Cricetulus griseus: one gene and its partners. The protein of the gene in region 5 purifies or fractionates together with the protein of the main gene of each other region. This does not show direct contact. Links are inferred from orthologs where the notes say so. Each region holds a gene or a part of one and is shown on either strand. Other genes may lie near its edges.

What was found.
Region 1: the proteins of Cdh1 (region 5) and Plekha7 purify together in Homo sapiens (co-immunoprecipitation; 3 studies listed by BioGRID and IntAct, with this or other methods). This does not show direct contact. The link is inferred for Cricetulus griseus from reciprocal best matches to the Homo sapiens genes CDH1 and PLEKHA7.
Region 2: the proteins of Cdh1 (region 5) and Skp2 purify together in Homo sapiens (affinity purification with western blotting; 3 studies listed by BioGRID and IntAct, with this or other methods). This does not show direct contact. The link is inferred for Cricetulus griseus from reciprocal best matches to the Homo sapiens genes CDH1 and SKP2.
Region 3: the proteins of Cdh1 (region 5) and Ctnna1 purify together in Homo sapiens (affinity purification with western blotting; 10 studies listed by BioGRID and IntAct, with this or other methods). This does not show direct contact. The link is inferred for Cricetulus griseus from reciprocal best matches to the Homo sapiens genes CDH1 and CTNNA1.
Region 4: the proteins of Cdh1 (region 5) and Src purify together in Homo sapiens (affinity purification with western blotting; 5 studies listed by BioGRID and IntAct, with this or other methods). This does not show direct contact. The link is inferred for Cricetulus griseus from reciprocal best matches to the Homo sapiens genes CDH1 and SRC.

What each region holds. Positions count from the first base shown.
Region 1 is NC_048596.1:84,335,198-84,339,281, reverse strand, and holds the start of Plekha7 (pleckstrin homology domain-containing family A member 7), read right to left. Parts: upstream 2,801-4,084; 5' UTR 2,766-2,800; coding exon 2,683-2,765; intron 2,580-2,682; coding exon 2,503-2,579; intron 2,423-2,502; coding exon 2,365-2,422; intron 1-2,364. UniProt on the Homo sapiens protein: Required for zonula adherens biogenesis and maintenance. Acts via its interaction with CAMSAP3, which anchors microtubules at their minus-ends to zonula adherens, leading to the recruitment of KIFC3 kinesin to the junctional site.
Region 2 is NC_048595.1:342,748,792-342,752,960, reverse strand, and holds the start of Skp2 (S-phase kinase-associated protein 2), read left to right. Parts: upstream 1-1,369; 5' UTR 1,370-1,567; coding exon 1,568-1,575; intron 1,576-2,053; coding exon 2,054-2,325; intron 2,326-4,169. UniProt on the Homo sapiens protein: Substrate recognition component of a SCF (SKP1-CUL1-F-box protein) E3 ubiquitin-protein ligase complex which mediates the ubiquitination and subsequent proteasomal degradation of target proteins involved in cell cycle progression, signal transduction and transcription.
Region 3 is NC_048595.1:202,375,355-202,379,312, forward strand, and holds the start of Ctnna1 (catenin alpha-1), read right to left. Parts: upstream 2,801-3,958; 5' UTR 2,652-2,800; intron 1-2,651. UniProt on the Homo sapiens protein: Associates with the cytoplasmic domain of a variety of cadherins. The association of catenins to cadherins produces a complex which is linked to the actin filament network, and which seems to be of primary importance for cadherins cell-adhesion properties.
Region 4 is NC_048599.1:22,117,671-22,121,884, forward strand, and holds the start of Src (proto-oncogene tyrosine-protein kinase Src), read right to left. Parts: upstream 2,801-4,214; 5' UTR 2,567-2,800; intron 1,810-2,566; exon of another isoform or gene 1,680-1,809; intron 1-1,679. UniProt on the Homo sapiens protein: Non-receptor protein tyrosine kinase which is activated following engagement of many different classes of cellular receptors including immune response receptors, integrins and other adhesion receptors, receptor protein tyrosine kinases, G protein-coupled receptors as well as cytokine receptors.
Region 5 is NC_048596.1:182,914,898-182,918,939, reverse strand, and holds the start of Cdh1 (cadherin-1), read right to left. Parts: upstream 2,801-4,042; coding exon 2,753-2,800; intron 2,015-2,752; coding exon 1,894-2,014; intron 1-1,893.

The DNA.
Region 1 (4,084 bases), about 99 Mb from region 5:
TTACCTGTAAATATAATATTCTCCAAGGTCTTAGGTGACCCCTGTGAAAGGGTTGTTAACCCCCAGAGGGGTCTCGACCCACAGGTTAAGAACCGCTGATCTATATGATATATTCCCATCTTACAGGTACAACAGCAAAATAAGATCTTTTTGTTGTTTTTCAAGACAAGGTTTCTCTGTATAACAGCTCTGGCTATCCTGGAACTCGCTCTGTAGGTCAGGATGGCTTCAAACTCACAGAGATTTACTTGCCTCTGCTTCCCCAGTACTGGGACCAAAGGTGTGTACCAACACCACCTAGCATATTTATTTTATCATCTTTTCAAGCCTGTTTCTAGTCCAACCTTCTCATCTCAAAGATATGGACACCACCCATTCAGGTACTCTCACCTCTAGGAGTCATCTATGTGCATGTGTGAGTGTATACATGTGAACTTGCGTGTGTTCTTGTGTACTACACAAGTGCATGAGTGCATACTTATGTGTGTGCCTGTGAATATAAATGCCAGAAGTCAAGTCAACCTCAAGTGTTATTTTTCAGATGTCCACCTTGTATTTTAAGACAGCTTCTCTCACTGGCCCCTGGGGCTTATAGATTAGGCTATGATGGTTGGCCAGCAAGCCCCAAATTTTCCTGTCTCCGCCACCCCAGAGCTAGGATTACAAGTGCACATGTCACTATACTGGATTCTTATGGGATCTAACGTGAGTCCTCATGCTTATGTGACCAGCACTTTAATGAACTGAGCCACCTTCCCAGTCCCCGAGAGTCATCTTTGAATGTTGTCAGACAACATCCAACCCGTTAGAAAGGTCTGTAAATACTACATCCAAAGCACAGCCTGAGTCTAACGACTGTTCTCCATCTCTGTGCTCCACCCTCCACTACAGTCTTTTTTGGACCACAGCCTCATACTGCTCTCCTGTCACCCTGGCACCGCTGTCCACCCAGACCCATTCTTCCTACAACTGCAAAGCATGGCATGCCACTTTCCCATTCGAAAACATCTGCATTCTCCCTGGGCTCAGAATAAAGCTTAGCAGCTATTTACTTCAGTCCAGCTTCATCATTTACCTCCCTACCTGTGACCCCCTTCAGTGTCACTCTCCCTTGGTCACCACCTTCAAGCCACAAGAGCCTCTTTGCTCACTGAACTTGAAGGTTTTTGTACCTTAAACATGTTTCTGAAATGTTTTGCCCCTACTGGTCAACCACAGCAAGGATCCTTCTTGGCATTCAAACTTCAGATGTCACCTGCACAGAAAAAGTCATCACGACCTTCCAATCCAACAAGTCACCCAATCACTCCAAATCGCATCCCCTCGTGTTAATTTTCTGCACAGCAGTCACCGCTAACTGCTATTATTATTTGTTCACTCTTTGTTTCCTTTCCTCCTGCGGGTTTCAAAGCAGCGAGCAGGAACAGTGAGCACCTCCCCTCCTAAAATTTCATCCATCAGTCTCAGCCACTATACAAGAGTCCCAGGTCTAAACAGTGTTTCCAAGTTGGTGGAGAAATGAATTCTGAATCACGATCCACCACAGTACAGTACACCTAGTGCCAGTCAAACCACTGGCCGGAAGATCTTTAGCTAGTTCATTCATTCGATAAACAAACATTTACCGAGCTCCTACTCTATGCCAGTGGGGCAAAGGCTCAAAGGCAAGTTCTGACTCCCAAGAACCACAGGAAGCAGAGGGACGCTGCAACACAGGCACACCTTCCCGAGCGGGAAAGATTAAGACTCTACTCGTGTCCCTTATGGCTTCGAGATCAGACCCAGAGTAACTGGTGCAGCAGCACGCCGCGGCTCAGACGCCAAAGCTCCTACTCCCACTAGTCCAGGCAGAGCCGATAGTCCGCGTTCGTCTGCGTTCAGCGCCCGCCGAAGACTCGCGGGTAGAGTTCCATCCAGGACTATCATTGGCTGGCCGGGAGCCCCACCCCCATCCCATCCCTGAGGAGCAAGGATGCAGCCGCCAGGGTCGCGCTCCAGCTCTCCTTGGCGATCCCAGGCAGCGCGGCCAGACACCACCTTCCACAAGCGTCGCCGCCCCTCTTCACCCTCCCCCACGCCCAAGCCCTAAGGCCACACTCGGGACCCACGCGAGCCCTACTCCCTGACACCCGCCACTGTGCCCAACACACGCCCCGGGGGTAGGCGTGTCCCGGGAGCCTAGGAGTTTGCTGGCTCGGCCGCCGGCGGGCGGGAGAAACCGGGCCAGGCCCCCCGCGGCGCGGCGAACCCCGGTGCGCGGCCGTCCCCGAGCCCGCCACCCTCGGGCACACAAACCCGGGGCGCCGAGCCCGCCAAGGCTGCGGAGGGGAGAGTCAGGTGCGACCGCAGAGCAGGCTCACTCACTCGATGAAGAAGCTGGCGCCTTCCTCCGTGAAGCCCTCCTCCCAGCCGCGCGGCAAGTCTGCGGGAAGGCGAGAAAAGTCGGTGAAACTCGCGCGTCCGTGGCGTCCCCCCCTTACTCCCCGCTGGCCCTGCGCCCACCTGAGCGGATCATGTGACCAGAGTTGACTGGCTCGCCGGTACGCGGGTGCAGCCAGGTCGTGCAGCCGAGCTGGTCACTGCGGGAGAGGTGCACCTGTTAGCGCCACCGCCCCACACACCCGCCCCGGGTCCCAGCCCCCAGCGCCCGACCCTACCCGAGTGCCGCCGCCCCTCACGCACTTGATAAAGAAGACGCGGCCGTCCCGACAGACGCCGTACGACCAGTGCTCAGGTAGGGTGTCCCGCCCGACCGCCGCCGCCATGTTCGCCCAGCACCAGAGCCCCGGGCCGCGGTAGGGGGGAGGGGCTAAGGGGCGGGGCAGGGGGCGGGGCGAGTGGGAGATAGGGGTGCAAGAAGTTAGAGTGGGAGGGACAAGAAACAGGGAGCTGGAGTAGCAAGAAGTCCGGGAGCAAGAAGTTGGATGGGGCTAGGGAGGGAAGGGGTAAGGCGTGGGGAGGGGTAGAGAGAGGGGTCCAAGAGGTTGGAAGGAGTGAGGCGGCGAGGCAAATAATGGGAAGGGACTAAGATGGACCCGACTCTGTTCTCCTGTGCTGGATGCAACGTGGGCTCCCATCCTTGGTGACTCGTGGTCTGGTGCCTGAGCCCGAGATCGCGGCCGATGACTCCAAAGTACACTGGTGCAGGGGCAGGGACCGGCAGGAGCGCAGGGCCCCTCAGCCTTTGTTCCCCAGACCCGCGGGCGATGGAACACACTGCCTACACACACACACACACACACGCACACGCACACGCACACGCACACACGCACACCCTTGCTTCAGGAAAACCAGCCAACCTGCACGGCGCAGTTTCTTTTCCCCGGAAGTGTGCTTCTTTCTTAGCCTAGGAACACCGAACAGGTTTCTGCTGGATTCCTGAGGGAGAGCCTCCAGGGCTTCTGTAAAATAAGTGAAAAGCTTGCCTGTGATTCCGGCTGAAGGAAGAGGATTGCTGCGAGTCGGGAGATTGGACAACATGGGCAACTATGAGACACTGTCTCAAAAAGTAAGGTTAAGAATGAGGTCTAGCCGGGCGTTGGTGGCACACGCCTTTAATCCCAGCACTTGGGAGGCAGAGGCAGGAGGATTTTTATGAGTTCGAGACCAGCCTGTTCTACAAGAGCTAGTTCCAGGACAACCTCCAAACCCACAGAGAAACACTGTCTTGAAAACAAAAACAAAAAGAAAGAAAGAAAGAAAGAAAGAAAGAAAGAAAGAAAGAAAGAAGAAGAAGAAGAAGAGGAAGAAGAAGAAGAAGAAGAATGAGGTCTAGCAGGAACTGTGTGCAGAGTAGGTGTAGTAGTTTCCCTGGAACCTGGCATACAATGGGTGCTCTAGTACCCACCAGGGCAAGCTTGCATTTATCTTCCCGGGCTCACGGCAGGTACAGGTCCTCTCCATGCCCCCATACATCTGAAGCTGCAGAGATCACAGGCTGCTTCTGCCTCAGCTCTCACAGGTGACAAAAAAGAGGTGATGTCTGGGTTTCCCTGCTTTCCCTTTGGAAGAGCTGTCAGTCTGCAGTCTCTAACACTTGCCTCTTTAAGTATCCAACTCTGGGGGCGGGGGCTCTCCTGAACCC
Region 2 (4,169 bases), on a different chromosome or scaffold from region 5:
AAGCTTTAAGGTGTGCACTAGGCCAGCACGCTTTTCTTTTTTTTCCCACTTTTACACCAATCTCACTTTTAAAAACGAAGAGTTTATAAATCCCTCCCTCTGCCAAGGGGGATTGATGCAAGAACCACGCTAGAAACAAACACACGCCTGAGCAAGAGGGATTTAATTCCGTTATAAAACCAGTCTTGGCCCCTCCCCTCATAGAAACTCAGGGGCATGTCATCTAACATATGAACCAATATTCTTAACTTTATGATGGAGCTAGCCTGCTTTTGTCCATCAACTTTATAAACCCTCTTCATTTTTACTGGACTTGAAATGCATCCCCTACCCTCTCCCCTGTGGCCCTGGAGTCACGTTTTTAGCACAGTTTGCACACTAGCATTTCGCATGGTCATTCCAATCTAATCGCCCCCGCCCCCCGACCTCTTCAGAGAGCCTAAATTAGCTTAGCTTTTAGGCAGAGAACCAAAGGGAAGTTGTGGGTTGAGTCAAAGGCACCATAACAGCTTTTCAGGGTGGTCTCTCACTGCAAGCATAGGGTCGTCATCTGATTCCCTTGGCTGCATTTGAGAGACCCGTCAAGGATACACGCGGGAACCACCGCTGGCTCCTGCTGCCCTCAAGTTAACCACTGCTTCTCTGGGAACTGCGCTGGAGCTTCATAGGGCTTCCACACGCACGTTATCTGATGTGATCCTCAGGCCAAGCCCGTGGGGTGTGCGTCGTCCCCGAGCCTATTTTACAGCTGAGGTAAGGATGGTGTCCACAGACCCAGTCCTAAGGGCCGCCCACTGCCAGGTGGAGGAAGTAGCCGTCTGGCAGGAGGGCAGGTGTGCCTCCCACAGCCTCTCACCTGGCGGGCGACCGAGACCAGGGAGATGGGCCTGGCGGCGGAGGCCGCTCAACATGTCGAACCCCCCAATCTATCTCCGCCAGCCTGGGCCGGGACCCCAGTCCCCGACCCGCCTCACCACCATCTCCCCCGCCCCCAGGCTCACCTTCGGATCGCGGCAGACAGCGTCTGGAAGGGACTGAGAAGCTTCGCGTCCGCCGCAGCCTGCCGGGGTCAGAGACCCACAGTCCAAGGCGACCGCGGCGGTGGTCACCCAAAGGCCTGTGGGCTCCGGGGGAAGAAAAACCCGTACCCGGTCAGTCCGCTGACATTTCCCCGTCAGTCTGAGCTCCACCCACTTCCGCTTGCCTGTCCTCTCCCCAGCCCCAGTGCCACCCTGCGCCGCGGGGGGTTGTGGGTATCTGGAGGGTTTGGCAAAAAAAAAAAAAAAAAAAAAGTAAGAGCGGAGGAAGGAGGAGTGAACCTAGTCGGACTGCGAGCCAGGCCCCAGAACTACAATTCCCAGCAGGCGACGGGGCATCAGAAGGCGGCTGCTGGAGAGCGGGATGCAGAACTCCGCGCGCGCGGTGGTGATGGAACGTTGCTAATTCGCGGGTCCGGCTGCTGGGGCCCCGGGGCATTACTCTGCGGCGCGCGCTGGAACGGGAATCTGGGAGGCAGGCAGGTCTTCACTTAATACACGCATCCAAAACCCCTCAATCCGTGAACGCAATGCACAGGTAAACCGATTGCAAAAACGGGCAAAGCATGAATGAACCGTTTGAATTCTTTTAGGCCGCGAATGTTGCTTCTTGCTCATCTTATTATGTGAATGGTTGCTTAGCCCCCTTTTTGAAGATAGTGGATGGATGCATGCTTTCGTGAGAATATCTATGTGCCGTTTAATTTGGCTTCCTAATTTGGTTTTCCTCCCACTATTTTGAATCATGGTATGAATGCCTTCCCTCTTTTTCCCTCCACGGGAAGAAATTATTGAGGCCTTCTGCGGGACCATAAATACCAAAGCCTTTCGAAGTGGAGTGTGTGTTTCCGATTTTCTTTCATTCTTGTGAGCTCGCTGTAGGCACGTTAAAAATGCAGTACTGTTACTCACTGTAACTTTTCTACACTGCATACTTGACGCTTCTTTCATTCCTACCTTGGAATTATTTAGGGGTATGCTTTCAAAAGGAATGGGGAATGTGTGCCCTTCTGCAGGAAGCACCTTCAGGAGATTCCGGACCAGAGTAGCAACGTCACCACTAGCTTCACATGGGGATGGGATTCCAGCAAGACCTCTGAACTGCTCTCAGGCATGGGTGTCTCTGCCTTGGAGAAGGAGGAGGTGGACAGTGAGAACATTCCCCATGAACTGCTCTCGAACCTCGGCCACCCCCAGAGCCCTCCAAGGAAAAGGCTAAAGAGCAAAGGCAGTGAGAAAGACTTTGTGATCATCCGTAGGCCTAAGCTCAATCGAGAGAACTTTCCAGGTAAAGTATGATACTAAAATTCAAATTATATAAGAAATGGATTGCACTGCTTTGTTTGAATTAAATTGATTGAACGATTTCCTTGGGGGATCTTTAGGATGGGTACCTAAAATTGCCTAGTTTTGAAGTGTTGCCGTGAAATGGAAACCAGTCGTTGAAGTCTCCTGGAATCTTGGTAGGTATTTATCTTCTGGTTCACAATTGACTTGAAACTTTTAACCCACAAGACAGCATTCCTCCCCTTTTCCTTACAAGGGAATCTCCCTGCTCAAAGTTCAGCTCAGCACACTGATGAATGGGAATACAAGCAGGATCTTAGAGGATTCCTTTAGTCTCTAATGCACTGCTTTGTACCAGAGTGAACTTTATAACTTAATCACTTAGGTTATTTGGAGGCACACTAGGAAGGTAAATGTTAATCTAGGGGGAGGAGATTTACCTCCCTGCTCCACTTCCAACAGGCTCTTGGGGTGTTGTGTTTCCAGTTCTGTGGCATTATAGTTACAATCATAGAGCCCTAAAACTTACTTAGTCTGATCCCCTATTGTCCCCCAATTGACATCTAGTCATTGTACCTTTCCTTCCTTTGTGACAAGTGATCCAAGCTTTCACAATCTCTTCCTGAATTATTGTAATGGGTTTATAATTTCAGCTTTTTTTTTTCTCAGTTCTGTCACCCAGAGGTGAAATGGATTGATTAAAATAGAATTTACCTTAAATTATCCCCTTACTAGTGACTCCCATTCCCTTATTTCCCAAATATTTTTAAGCAAATGCCTCCCAAGTAGATCAAGACTCAAGCACCCAGGGCCATAGGGTAAATATAGTGTATTGACTTGAGGCGTTGACAAGGTTCTTTTGTTTGTTTCTTGTCTTTTAAAAGAGTGATTCATAGCCGGGCAGTGGTGGGCATACCTTTAATCCCAGCACTCAGGAGTCAGAGGCAGGTGGATCTCTGAGTTCAAGACCAACCTGGTCTACAAGAGCTAGTTCCAGGACAGCCTCCAAAGCCACAGAGAAACCTTGTCTCAAAAAAAAAAGAGAGTGATTCATCAAATATTTGCTGAAAACACACTATGGTTTCCACAGTATAGTGCTACGAATATAGCAGTGAACAAATCATACACATTTCTAAACCTTAGAACTTCCTTTCCAGTGAGGAAATAGTATAAACACATTAGACATGCTATTCTATGTAATGGGTTAGGCCATGGTAGCCAAAAACAGAAACAGATCAAGCTGGGGGAGAATGGAAGCCCTGCAGTCAGAAGATAGATTGTAAACTGGGTATTAACTAAAACCCTTAATTGGATAGTGACCTTTAAGCAAACAAAGGCAAAGTGGAGAGAGAGCAGGAGTATGTCATGAAAATGTCTCTTGGTGTAAAGAACCTTAAGCAAAAGGAGCAGCCACTGTAAAATTTCCCAGAGAAAAGACTAGGCCATATAGTAAAAGTAGAGTAGGGAGAAATATGGACAGCCCCCTTCTTTTAAGATCTTACCTCATTGAACCCCCCCTTCTTTTTTTGTATTTTCATGTTGTTTTGAGACTGGGTTTCTCTGTGTAGACCTGGCTGTCCTAGCACTCTAGACCATGCTGGCCTCTAATTGATCTACTTGCCTCAGTGCTGAGAATAGCAATGTGGGCCACCACCCAGATGCTCATTGAACCCTTTAAAGGAATACATTGGTAAACTGAGACTAAACTGTAGCAGGTAGAGTATAGACAACAGAGCTTAGAGACATGTTAAGATGTGGGGAATAATAAGCAGTGGCCAGATTCTGAATAGAGTCCAAATTTAGAGACAATAGAAATTAGAAGGGTATTGAGATTGTTAGTGGAGG
Region 3 (3,958 bases), on a different chromosome or scaffold from region 5:
GAGCACTGGTGGAGGTGAGAACTCTCTAGGGGCAGGCTGCTCTGCTGCTGTGATCTTTCAGCTTTCAGCCTGATAGCTGACTGCTAGAATTCGTGCTACACTAGATCTTGAGACATAACTGAGAGTTCAATGCTTAAAAAAAAAACTTTATCAAGAGGCCTACACCCCATCACCAAACCAATCTTTACCCCCTTTTCCAAAATACAACTCCATTCATCCTGATCACCTTTATCCACATTACCTTCCTCAGTCAACTCCCTGCTTTTAGACACGAAAGAATTCAAATCTCTGAGCACCAACAAAAAATAAAAAGCTGCTCAGATCATGGAAGGCCCTAGAATGGCTTCTTACAGCTTTAGAATAAAATCTACACACAGCCATCTGTGACCTGGCCTTTGCCTTCCCTGACCACCTTATTAAACCTCCCTATTTCAGTACTCATAATACAAAGATCATCTCTACACCTCTAGTCCTCCAAATACTGTGCCAATGCTCAGGCTATATACATCTGTTAAGGACCCTATTCCTTTATTCTGGTCTAGGTTTTAGCCAGTACACTTAACTATCACCACCTTCAACAAGCAGGGCTATCTGTGCTGTCAGTAATGTGACTTTAAAAGAATTCAAGACCATTCGTACCAGTTACTCTGGCTCTCCACATCTGGTTGAGATCTCCAAAACAGAATTAAGTCTCACATCAGATATGGTTTGAGAAGCCGTGGGATATACAAGGAGACCCATGTGGCTCAAGAGAGACACCTAAACCCAAAAAAAGGAGCGGGACGTTAGCAGCTAAGGTTGATGGCAGAGGTAAGGGGGGTTGTACAGCTCATGGTACATTATTTGACTAGCATATACAAGGCTCTAGGTTTGTTTCCCCAACACCACAGAGGGCAGAAAGGGGGGTTGATGAGAGAAGGCACAAGGCAGTGATTCTCAACTAGGAAAAAAGACACCCCTCATCTCTAACCAATATATAAAATGTTTCTGATGGGAATGGAGGTGGTACTATATAACTGGTGCTGAAAACCAATGTTCTCAGGATAGATTACATGCAGGAAAGGGAGGGAGTGAAAACTAAAGAAAAAAAAAAACAAAAAACAGAACATCAGATTCCCCACACTTACATGCCCTTTTATGCCTTTCCCCTACTTTCTCCTGCCACGTGACTTCAACTCGTGCTTCACCCAATTCAAAAGCCACCACCTTCCAGGACTCCCAGACTTATAAACGTATTAACACTCCAAGCATCTGTGAATTTCTGTTGTTTGCATTATACACAAATTTGACCCAGACAGGTGTTACGTATGGAACACGTCTGAATCCCAACAATCAAGAAGCTTAAGCTAGCGTGGATTTCATAGTGAGAGCCAGTCTGAGGGGAAAAAAAAAAAAAAGGATACGACACTAGAGAAACTTCTGATCCTCAAACAAAGAGTAATTTTAAAACCTATTTTCTGACTTAGTTGAATCAGGACGTATAAACAATTGAGCAGAGGCTACGAATGATTTCCCCGCTCAATCCTTTTGTAAACTAAAACAAACTCCGTTTCTTAAAGTAACAACCACCTGTAGTCTTTAAGAATCAGTTAAACACAAAATATCCTTTTCAAAAACACCTATCATAAAGATACAATACACATACACAATACAGTGATGTATGCATGAGTTTACATTATAAATTATTGTGCATTCTATACAAAACACACAAAAAATGTTATGAAGACGAAGAACTTAAGAGGGTATCAACCGTCAATTTGAGCCAACTGCTAACTGAATTACTGGGATGGCCACTGCTTGCAATCCAAGGCTACCCATCCAGTCAACATTTTTCCTCCAAGTTCTACACACATTAACAAGTTCCTTTTAAAGGAAGGCGGGGCATTGACATCGCAGGCTTGCAATGTCCGCCCTCGGGAAGCTAAGGCAGGGAGCCCGAGTGTTCCAGGCCATCCTGGGCTACTTAGCAAGACCAGCCCTCGGTAGCACAAGGTCAGTAACAAGACCCTAACGCCACTCCTGAAAACTGGGTGTAAAGTCAGTCCAGTCAGGCAGAGAACGCGGATGAGTAATTTTAAAGTAAAGATTAACAACTTCTTGCCACAGGTTCACACGGGTGTGGCGCACCTTAAAGGACAAGAGCCCTGGAGAGCAGGAAGCTACGGCTCTCACACTCCGTGGGTCGGACTGGAATGCCAGCTCCCCCGACCTCTGGCCCCCGCAAACGCCCAACTTTCAGCGAGGGGGAGAAAGGGGGGAGGGGCGCGGCCGGCACAAATCCAGGGAACAATCGCGACCCTTAAAACACCCCACCGCCGGAACGCCAGAGACACTCCGAGGTCGCCTCTCAGCGGGGGAGGCGGCCCGAGGCGCGACGCCCGTCCCGCGAGCGCGCGCCCTGCTCGGGGAACAAAGTTTAGAAAGAGGGAGAAAGTTTTCCGAGAAGGCGCCGCGGCGGTAGCTCCGCTTCCCGAGCGTCGGGCTCCGCCCGCCCAGGCCCAGGCTGCTCCGGGAAGCCGCCCTGGCCCGACGCTCCCCAGGGCGGAGGCCGCCCAGAGCCTGCCTGCGCCGTCACCCGGACCCCGGCCAGCGGAGACCCTCGGCCCACCAGGGGCCCCGCGCGCGCCCCGAGGGGAGGCACAAAGATTTACCTGCGGCGAGCGAGGAGAACGCAGGACGACTCCTGAGGCGCCAAGCCGACGGCCGCCGCTTTGTCTCCCGCCCGTCCGGCTCCCAGGAGGAAATGGGCCGCCCTGCGCTCCCGCCCCCGGCCCGCCCCGCGCCGCGCCCGCCCGCCCTTCCCGGCACCTCCCTCCGCGCGCTCTTCCCAGCGCCTCCCGCGGCCTCCACACCGCTCGTCCCGGCCTGCGGCGGCGGGCGCTTTCGGGGAAGAGCCTCCCTCCGGGATGGTAGCCTGGCAACTCCAGGCTGGGACCCCCAGAAGTCCCTTTCGTTCGGCCTCGGGGCGCGCACAGCCTGACCCCCGACGGGAAGGAGGGGCGGCGACTCACGGAACAGCCCGCAGCCGGGGAAGGCGGGCGGAGGGCAGGTGAGTCACCGCTCCCAACTCAGGTGAGTCTCGGGGCGCGGCCCCGGAAGGCCCCGCCCCGTCCGACGTCCCGGGACCAGCGTGACGCCGCGGGGTCCTGCTGGTCTCACTCCTGTGGCGAATGTCATCTTGTCCCCTGGTCCAAGGCGCCCAGAAAAGGGGGCAGCCTACTCCTTGCTTTACCCGAAGAGAAACAACTCCAAGTAAACGTTCCACATCTCCCGGCACAGTGGAACGGGAATCCGATTCTCAGAACGGTTTTTTGTTTTGTTTTGTTTCGGGTTTTTTTTTTGTTTTTTGGTGTTTGTTTAGTTTTATTTTTGAGGTAGGTTCTCACGTAGGTCAAACTGGTCTTGAACTGGCTATGTCGGCAAGAATAAACTTTTTTTTTTTTTTGCATTTGGGCCGAGGGGCGGCACAAAGCTTGTGCTTGTGTACAAATCAGGATAATCTGTGGTTTTCTCTCACCATGTGGGTCCTGGGGATTGAACTCAGGTTGCAGGGCTGGGTGGCCAGTGCCAACTTGCCTTAAACTCTTGATTCTCCTGCTCACCTCCCAGCTGCTGAGATTATAGGCCTGCACCATTACACTTGGTTTGGGGCCTCTTAAAGAGTGGGCAGATGAGAGAGATGATCAGTGGGTAAAAATGTTTGCCCTCTACCAACAATGACGTACTAAGAGTATGAAGGCCACAGAGTTGACCTCTGACTTCCACCCTGGTGCAGGTGGCATATTCACCCACACAAAGTAATAAATTTTAATTCTAGGAAAAGTGGTTTGGAGATGCCTACTATGCCCTGGGTTCAGTCTTCAGCACTACAAACAAAAAAGGCCATTCTTGTCCAATTACATGCTTTTTGTTTCTAGTTTGGGGGTTTTGACTCTGGTGGTTTGAAAGATAGTGGCCC
Region 4 (4,214 bases), on a different chromosome or scaffold from region 5:
TTATCCGCCTTACTCCAGTTTCTAGAAGCCAAGGACCTGTTCACAATTTCCCAGCAAGTCCCCAGGCAGATGACCTTCTGAGCAGAGGGGAAGAACACTGGTCCAGCTGCACTCTTGGCTAGCTGGCCACTGCTTGCTCCAGCTCAAGCTCCTCCTTCAGGAAGCTGTCGTCCTCCTACCACAAAGCTGCTCAACAAAGTTCACAGGCCCTAGTGCATAGTAAGTGCTCAATGTACGATCAAAGACAGCCGAGGACCAGGTGGATAACAGGGACAAAAACCATTTAGCCAGTCCTCCTTAGATCCTGGGACTTAGAGGACCCAGACATGCTCCATTCCCACCCCTACTGTCAGATGAGAATGGGGTAAAAGCCCAAGCAGGAGGCAGCCTATAAGCTGGAGGCTGGTGGGGGGCTGGGGAAAGGGACACGACAGGAAACAGAAGAGGATTGGGTGGGAGAGATAGGGTTGCCCTAAGGCTGGAAGAACAAGGATGAACATGAGATGGGGCGTGCCCCTAACACTCATTCTCAGTGTGTACCCCAGGATACAAGCAGTCAGCTGAGAGGTGACACACTATAAGTCACTTCCCCTTGTGGAAAGGCCACCTCACCGGGACACACCCCATCTCCAGCAGGGCCTTATGGCTCTGCCAGGTGGGGGTGATATGGGAGGAGTCTTTTTCCAACAATGCCTTGTTCCTGACCCCAAACTATACAGCCTTCACTGTCACTGCAGGTTAAAGGGCAGCCAGCCAGCTCCTCTGAAGTCTAAGTTCCAGTTCCAGCTGCAGACTGAGCTAGCCCCAGGAGGAGTTCAGTGAACCTCAACAGCTCTGATCATCATGGCTCCACCTGATTTATCTGTCCGTCCTGTAGTGCCAAGGCTAGCACCAGGGCCTTGGGCATGCGAAGCCTGTGCTCTACCACTGAGTGCCTTCACAATCTGATTGATCATTCCTTTCTGACAAGACTGAGGCAAAAGGAACCCAGAGCTGACTATATTCACACAGCTGTGGGCCACAGGAGGGTGCTCGGATATTGAGGCTCTAGGGCACCCTTCGAGACACAGTTACCCTCTCCTGCAGGCAGCTGTGCCACAAGCACCCCAGTCATCTTGTGCAGGCTCCAGGGTGGAACTCATTTATTGACACCCCACCCCATGCATGCCAACTCCTTAGCTGCCAGAAGCACAGGGAGTAATCACCTGAGGACCCTGTCACTGCTGTGAAGGATCCAAGGAGCAGCCCCCAGCTCAGATCACCCAGGAAAACAAGAGACTTTGATGCTTGGACTCAAAAGTCTGGAAAGAGCCCCATCCCCGCCCGCCCCGCCCCACCCCCGCACGCGCCCCGCCCCCATGCCCACCTTGGAAACTGAATCTGACTTCCACCCAGGTGAACCCATCACCATTGCTCACACAGTTTGTGAGTCAGGGAAGACCTTGTTTAGGGCCTCATAAGCCTCACACGTCTCTGTCCACTTTTCTCCCTCTGAATACCTTAGAGGTTTAGGGGTTACCCAGGGAAAAGTCCCCTCTGTCCACTCCACTCTTCAACCAGCCTAGCAGTCCTGGCCGTCTACCCATCACTGAGAAGGGCCTTGGCTCAGAGAGCTAAGGCAGTTGTCTCCAAGACACACAGCATGACAAGTGGTGGTTCTAGTGGGGACACAAACTCACCTCCAGTACCTGCCCGGGTGGGCAAGTGGACCTAGTAGTGGTACTGAAACACCAAAACTTTTGCCAACTTCGGAGCCGGCAGGTCGCTGGGCCCGAGGAGGGGCGAGGCTGGGGGCTGGCGGGGGTGAGGGGAGGACAGAGTGGCCCAGTCTCCGCCAGGCCAACAGCACCAGGCCCTAACCGAGGCCCGGAGACCCAAGGAGGTCGCGTGGCCACCAGGGAGCCCAGTCCCCAGCGCCCACCCCACCCCCAACCCCCACTCCGGGCCGGGGGCGCAGGGCCCCGCAGCCGCGATCGCGGGCGGCGCCGATCGGCCGGGTTTTCAGATGTGGCCTAGCCGGGCTGGGGACTCTGCGGCCGAGGGTCCCCACGCGCCGGTGCCCCCCGCGCCCCGCCCGGCCTCCCCCGCGCATCCCAACAAAAGGCCGCGCCGGGCAGGTCGCGGGCCGCGGCGGGGAGTGGGCAGGGCGGGAGCCCGCAGCGGGGCGCGGGGCTGGCGGGGCGGGGGCGCTCACCTGCGGCGCGGCCGCGGGCTCCGGACGCGCCCGGGCGGACCCCAGCGGGGCGCGCAGCGCTGGCGGGCGGCGGCCTGGCCGCTCCGGCGGGGCGGCCGGGTGGATTCCGGGCCGGGAGAGACAGACCTAGAGAAAGGGAGGAGGCGGCGGCGGCGGCGGCAGCGGCGAGGGGGAGGGAGCGCGCGGGAGGAGGGGCCGCGGCCGATGCGAGCCGGAGAAAGAAGGAAGCGCGGACCCGGGCCCCGCCGGCGACCCGGGGGACCTGCTGTGCGAGCCGGGCCCCGCGCCTCCCGCACCCAGCCCCCTCCCCGCAGCTCCACCCGCGGGGGCGCCCTCTCGCCCCGGACCAACCTAGCTACCTGAGCTACGCACCGATGGCTAGCACTATCTTCCAGACACGGAAACTGAGGCAACTGGCCACACCAGCTTTGACCTGATTGTCTTTAACCAGAGACTGGGACCAGAGGGGCAGAGTGAGGAGGAGAGAGGCAGCTTTATTAAAATGTATCAAGAGGCGAAACAGTGGCTCACTATGTGACACAGGCTGGCCTTGAACTTGTGGGAGGCTCCAGCTTCTGCCTATGGAGGGCAGGGACTGCAAGCATCAGGCCAGCCCTAAATTCATTTTCAGCGCATGCAGAGACCACGTACATCTGCTGGGAAGTATGCAGGTAGTCAGCCACTGAGGACAGCAGGATCAGCCAAACAGGAAGTAGAGAAGGAAAATGGGATAAGGGGGCGGGATGTGGTTTCAGGTTGGTCTCAAAGACCACCCCTCACAAACGCCAGTCCCTGTCCAGGTTCTAGGGCTGCCCCTTGGGCCAGGGAGGGGGTCCACCTCTGACTCCTCCGTTCCCCTCTAGAAAGATGAATCCGACCATCTGCCTCCATCCTCCTTCCTTGAAAGTGCTCCCATCTCACAGGTGGCCAACTGAGACCCAACCAGGTTAATGTGGCACCAGGCCTGAGCTTTCTCCTGGTGGAGACCCCTCCTGAAGGGCAGGTTCCCATCCTCCCAGAACATAAGAGGCTCCAGCCTCAGGGTACAATGTATGTCCCAGCAGGCCAGGAAGGAGCAAAGCTTTGAGTCAGGCTGATCTAAGTTCACATCTAGGCCAGGTGCCTCAGGGTTTGTTCAGTCATCAGTTTCCTGTTCCAGCCTCCTCCCGTTGTGAAGTAGGTAGGAGTGGACAGGACTGGGATCTGAAGGCCGCACTGCTGAGTGCAAGTGTGGCCAGGGTAGCCCACTGAGCCAGAAGAGAGAACGGGGCTGCTCAGGATCCTCATGAACAGCAGGCAAAGTAGCCACTCCTGTTTGCAAGACTTGCTTAAAGTTTAACGGCAGTTTCCCAGGACTCCCTTGGGCAGGCCCTGGCTGGAGGAGCAGGTTTCTCCGCCCTCTTCCCCGCCAAAGACTTGTCTAATGGCCTTCACTGGCCACACTGGGCTGGGGGAAGGGTGGCTACTCTTCCTGTAAGGTGCTGGAGCTGGTTCTCAGAGGCTTGCAAACACTTAGGACCGCTGTCCTCCTTCTCAGGGCCATATTCAGTGATGTCAGACTGGTCACCTGGCATCGGCCTCCAAGGAAGTATGTTCTACTTGGAAATGGAGAAATTTGACAAACCATACCTTAGCTTTTTCTTCCAGAGAGTTGCTTGTTAAATATTTGCCAGCGTATCACTACATCCATTGCTGGAAGTTCAACAGAAAGATCTGGACATTGGGCGTTTCCAAACCTAAGACGATGGAAAGCTTCAAAGTACAAACTTTGGACCCATGGGCTTGGGTTGAGGCCTCAACTCTACCTCTTTGCAAATATATAAATGACCAAGAACACGCCATTTTTCTGAGCTCAGTACACCAAAAACCTGCAAAATGGGTAAGGACAACTCATCCTCAGAATTGGCATGAGAGGAGAGAGAGGTGAGGTAGGTTTGAACTGTCTATGCGGCCTCACACCTGGAACTACCTCTAGCTCTGAGGTCACAGTAACAGCCAGGGCTCTCAGAGGAAATGGCCA
Region 5 (4,042 bases):
CTCAGTCTGTTTTACAATGGACCCTGTTTTCCCCAGACACAGGCACACATACCCTGCCCTTCCTTCAACCCTTCCTTCCTTTCTACCTCTTTTCTTTCTTGTTTTTCTAGAAAAATTCTGATCTCACTCTGTATCGCAGGTTAGTCTAGAACTCACTACATAGACCAGGCTAACCTCAAACTTACAACTTTTAGCAACCCTCCTGCTTCAGCTTCCTAAGTGCCGATTATAGGGATGAACCACCACACCAAGGCTCAGTTCTCACTTGCCCCCACCCTCTTTCTGAGAGAAAAAGGAACCAAACAGAAAAAGACTAGTCTTAGATGCTTCAGACAATACAGAAGCCAGGCAAGCCCCTGAGTTCTTTCTATAAGGACTAGAATGGTGTCCACCTTCCAGAAGATCTCATTTTCACAGTTGGGAGCATAACTGTGATACTATGTCACTATGAACAGGACACTAGAGCTTAGATGTGCAAAATAAAAGCAAGACTAGTGCCAAGGTAAGCCTATAATCCCAGCACTCAAATCTGAGGCAGGAGAAAATTGTGAATTTCAGACTAGCCCAGTTCATGAAAGAGATCTAGTCTCAAAAACAAAAACAAAAACACCAATAGACTGGTAGTAAAGTGCCTGGCTAGCATGTAGCAGGCCTTGGGTTTGATCCTCAACACTCCTAATACACACAAATACCATCCTAACTAAGGAACAACAATGTGTCATCATGCCAAAGGAAAAACTACCATCCCTTGGATTGTGATACCTAATACTATATACTCAACGAATTCCCATGTCTAATCCTGCACAGCTCAAGACTGGGTGGTATCTTTCCAGAAGTCTACTGGTACCCTTGGAAACATCCCAGGCCACCCACACCTCACTAACCTGTCCCAAAGTGCCACTGAAGGGTCTCCTAAAATGCTCTCAGCAACCTATCCCTGCTCAGATTATTCCTCAGATGGACAGCAAGTAGAAATAGGCTGGGCAAGCATTGACCACTCCAACCTCAGGGTCACAGGACAGCACTGCCTTCCTCGGCGGAGAAAGCTCCACAGAACCAGTCAGGTCTCAGAAAAGCAAATACAACTAACCAATGGAGCTGCTATTTCTCTGTAAAACACATCAGCAAACCTGGGCACAACTTCCAAAGTTAACAACAGAATTTTAGACACCACCATCATTTTTGGTGGCCTATGGCTGGAAGGACAAACTTGGTCAGAGGGTCAGAGGGATTGAGTGACTTTTCATATATATATATATATTCTATCATGAGAGGTTTTGGTACAAAAAATAGGGAAGCCAGTAAAAAAACCTGGGCATTGCCTTGCTCCCAGCCATGCCCAACAGGGAAGCAAAGAAAATTCTAGATTATCACAGTGAGATAAGACTTGAAATATACTGAGTGCTTGCATGTATGAGTCAGTGCTACCATCTTTTTCTAACGAGGCCAGCCTGGTCTACAGAGCGAGTTCCAGAACAGAAGAAGCCAAACTTATATCAAATATTTTCAACTCTATGAACAAAAGCCACAGGTCACTAAGAGCCAGTTCTTCAGTGACTGCCTAAATAGTGGGAGTCAAATCCCGGTTCAGATGCCTGCCCTGCCTCAGATTGCTCATCATTAAATGGGAATATCGGCAAACTGGCCCTACCCAGCAGGTTTTGGCGGTCTAAAATGATAGGCTGGCTCCAGCAATAAGTCAGAGAAACACTGATAACCTCTAAATATCCTTGGCCCATCCCTGTCCTTGTATAAATAGCACAGTCAGACAAATCTACCTTGATCAACCACAATTCATATATTTAGACTTCCAAGTCGGCGTAAATCCCAAAGGAGAGTTTTGTCCATTCCTTCCCCCCTGCCCAACTCTGCCCACCAACAGAGCCCCCTTACCTTTGCCCAGGAGGTGGCCTCTCTCCAGGTGCCTCCACGGCACCTGGAACGTGTAGACCTCGGCACTAAAGCCGGGGCGGCAGGGCTCGGGCTCCTGCTCCTGGCAGAGCCATGATGAGACCTGGGGTGGAGGAAAGGTAAGCAACCTGGTGACTTGGGGAAGCCCGCACCGAAACCACCAACGTAACCCTTCCCTCGCCTGAGGTATCGGGATTGTGGGAGGACCCTCCTCGGGGCAGACAGGGACGCCACCCTCTCAACCCGAAACCAGCCACAAAACTCCAAGAACCCTTGGGGGAGGGGACTGCTAGGGTCACCACCTCTCAGCCTAGACTACCTTTACTGCCTGACTCCATTTGCATCACACTGGAGACGCCTTTACTCTTCCGGACACCACTTTCCTTAGACCGCAAACACCCTCTGACTCCTCTTTCTTACTCCAGAGAGCACCCACCCCCAGTCTACCGTGTCCCCTCTTTCCACGGCAGGTGCTTTTATGCTACTAAAGTCCCTTTCCTTACCTCGGATCGTCCGCGCTGCTTCTGCCCCCCACCCTTTTTTCATGCAGGACCCCGTCCTGCTCCATGGCCCCTCTGCCCGCCTTAAAGCGGGACCCTGCTCAACTCGGGGTCCCGGGAGCCCGCAGCGTGGCGCGCCCCCACCTGGGAACCTGCGGGAGAGGCGGCCACTCCGCGCTCGCCTGGACCCCCCTCCCACTCCACAGCACTCAGCCCCGCGCCTCTGGACCCCAACTTTTTGAAGAAGGAAAGAGGGATGGCAGCAGGCAGAAAGAAAGGCACAGCGAAGCGGGTCGCAGGGCCGGAAGGCGTCCTGCCGGGAGTCGGGACACTCCAAGTACCTGCAGCAGGAACAGGATCGCGGAGAGGCTGCGGCGCGGGAATCTCATGGCTGGCCGGGCGGGCGCCGAGCAAACACGGAACTCGGGTGCGGTCGGGCAGGGCCAGGTTAGGCCGGGCTGGAGTCTGGCAGAACTTCCGAGAACTCACTGAGACGTCGCTGCTCCCCACTCCACTGAGCCAGGCAGAGGCTGCGGCCGCCAGGTGAGCCTGAAGGCACCGCCCCCGGCTCCACTGATTGGCTGAGGACGCACCTGCAGGTGGCAGCCAAGGAGCCTTGCGGCCCTCGACTTCCTCCACCCTTAATTGTAGTTGGTGGCATGGGGCCGGGCTGAGGAGACTTCCTAGTCCATATTCGTTGGAATCCCAGCCCAGTCATTGTAACTTGGAATTACAAAGGACTTTACTCTTCATCTAGGTTTTCATTTCGTTTTTCTTTATTGTGTTTGGTCGGAGGGGTTTGTTTGGTTTGGTTTACTTCAGGATTAAAAACTAAAAAACATCTTAGCGCGCGTGTACGTGTGTGTGTGTGTGTGTGTGTGTGTGTGTGTGTGTGTGTGTGTGTGTGTGTTTATATTCGCAAACGCACGCGCCACAGCCGGTGTGGAGATAAGATGACAGCCTGCAGGAGTCAGTTCTCTCCTTCTGCCAAAAAGGGGTCTCGGGATTGAATTCCCATCATCAGCCTTTACTGGCTGAGCCATCTCTCTATAGCCTGAGGTTTTTTCTTTTTGATTTTTCTTTTTCTTTGTTTTCCAGCCAAAACTGGCTTGGAACTGTTTTAGGTAGCCCAAGCAATCCTCCTGCTTCCGCCTCCCAAACGCTGGGATTGCGTAAGTGAGCCACCAGATCAGGCTCATCTAGTCATCTAATGTTCTAACATCTGTCCCACTCCCTTTTGAGACATGGTCTTGCTATGTAGCCCGGTAGTAGTCTCAGCTTCCCCACTTCTGGGGTGGAACTAAAAATACCATACCCCACTAAAATCTATTCTTTTGTTTGTTTGTTTTGTTTTGTTTTTTGTTTTTTTCGAGACAGGGTTTCTCTGTGGCTTTGGAGGCTGTCCTGAAACTAGCTCTTGTAGACCAGGCTGGTCTCAAACTCACAGAGATCCGCCAGCCTCTGCCTCCCGAGTGCTGGGATTGAAGGCATGTGTCACCACCGTCCTACAAAATCTCTTCTTTTAACTTCCGTTTTCAGCAGGCTAGTAAATCAGGGAGTATATCCAATGGATTAGAATCCCCTGGGGCAGAAATTATAGGCACTTTTCAGCTGCCCAGTGTGGGAGCTGG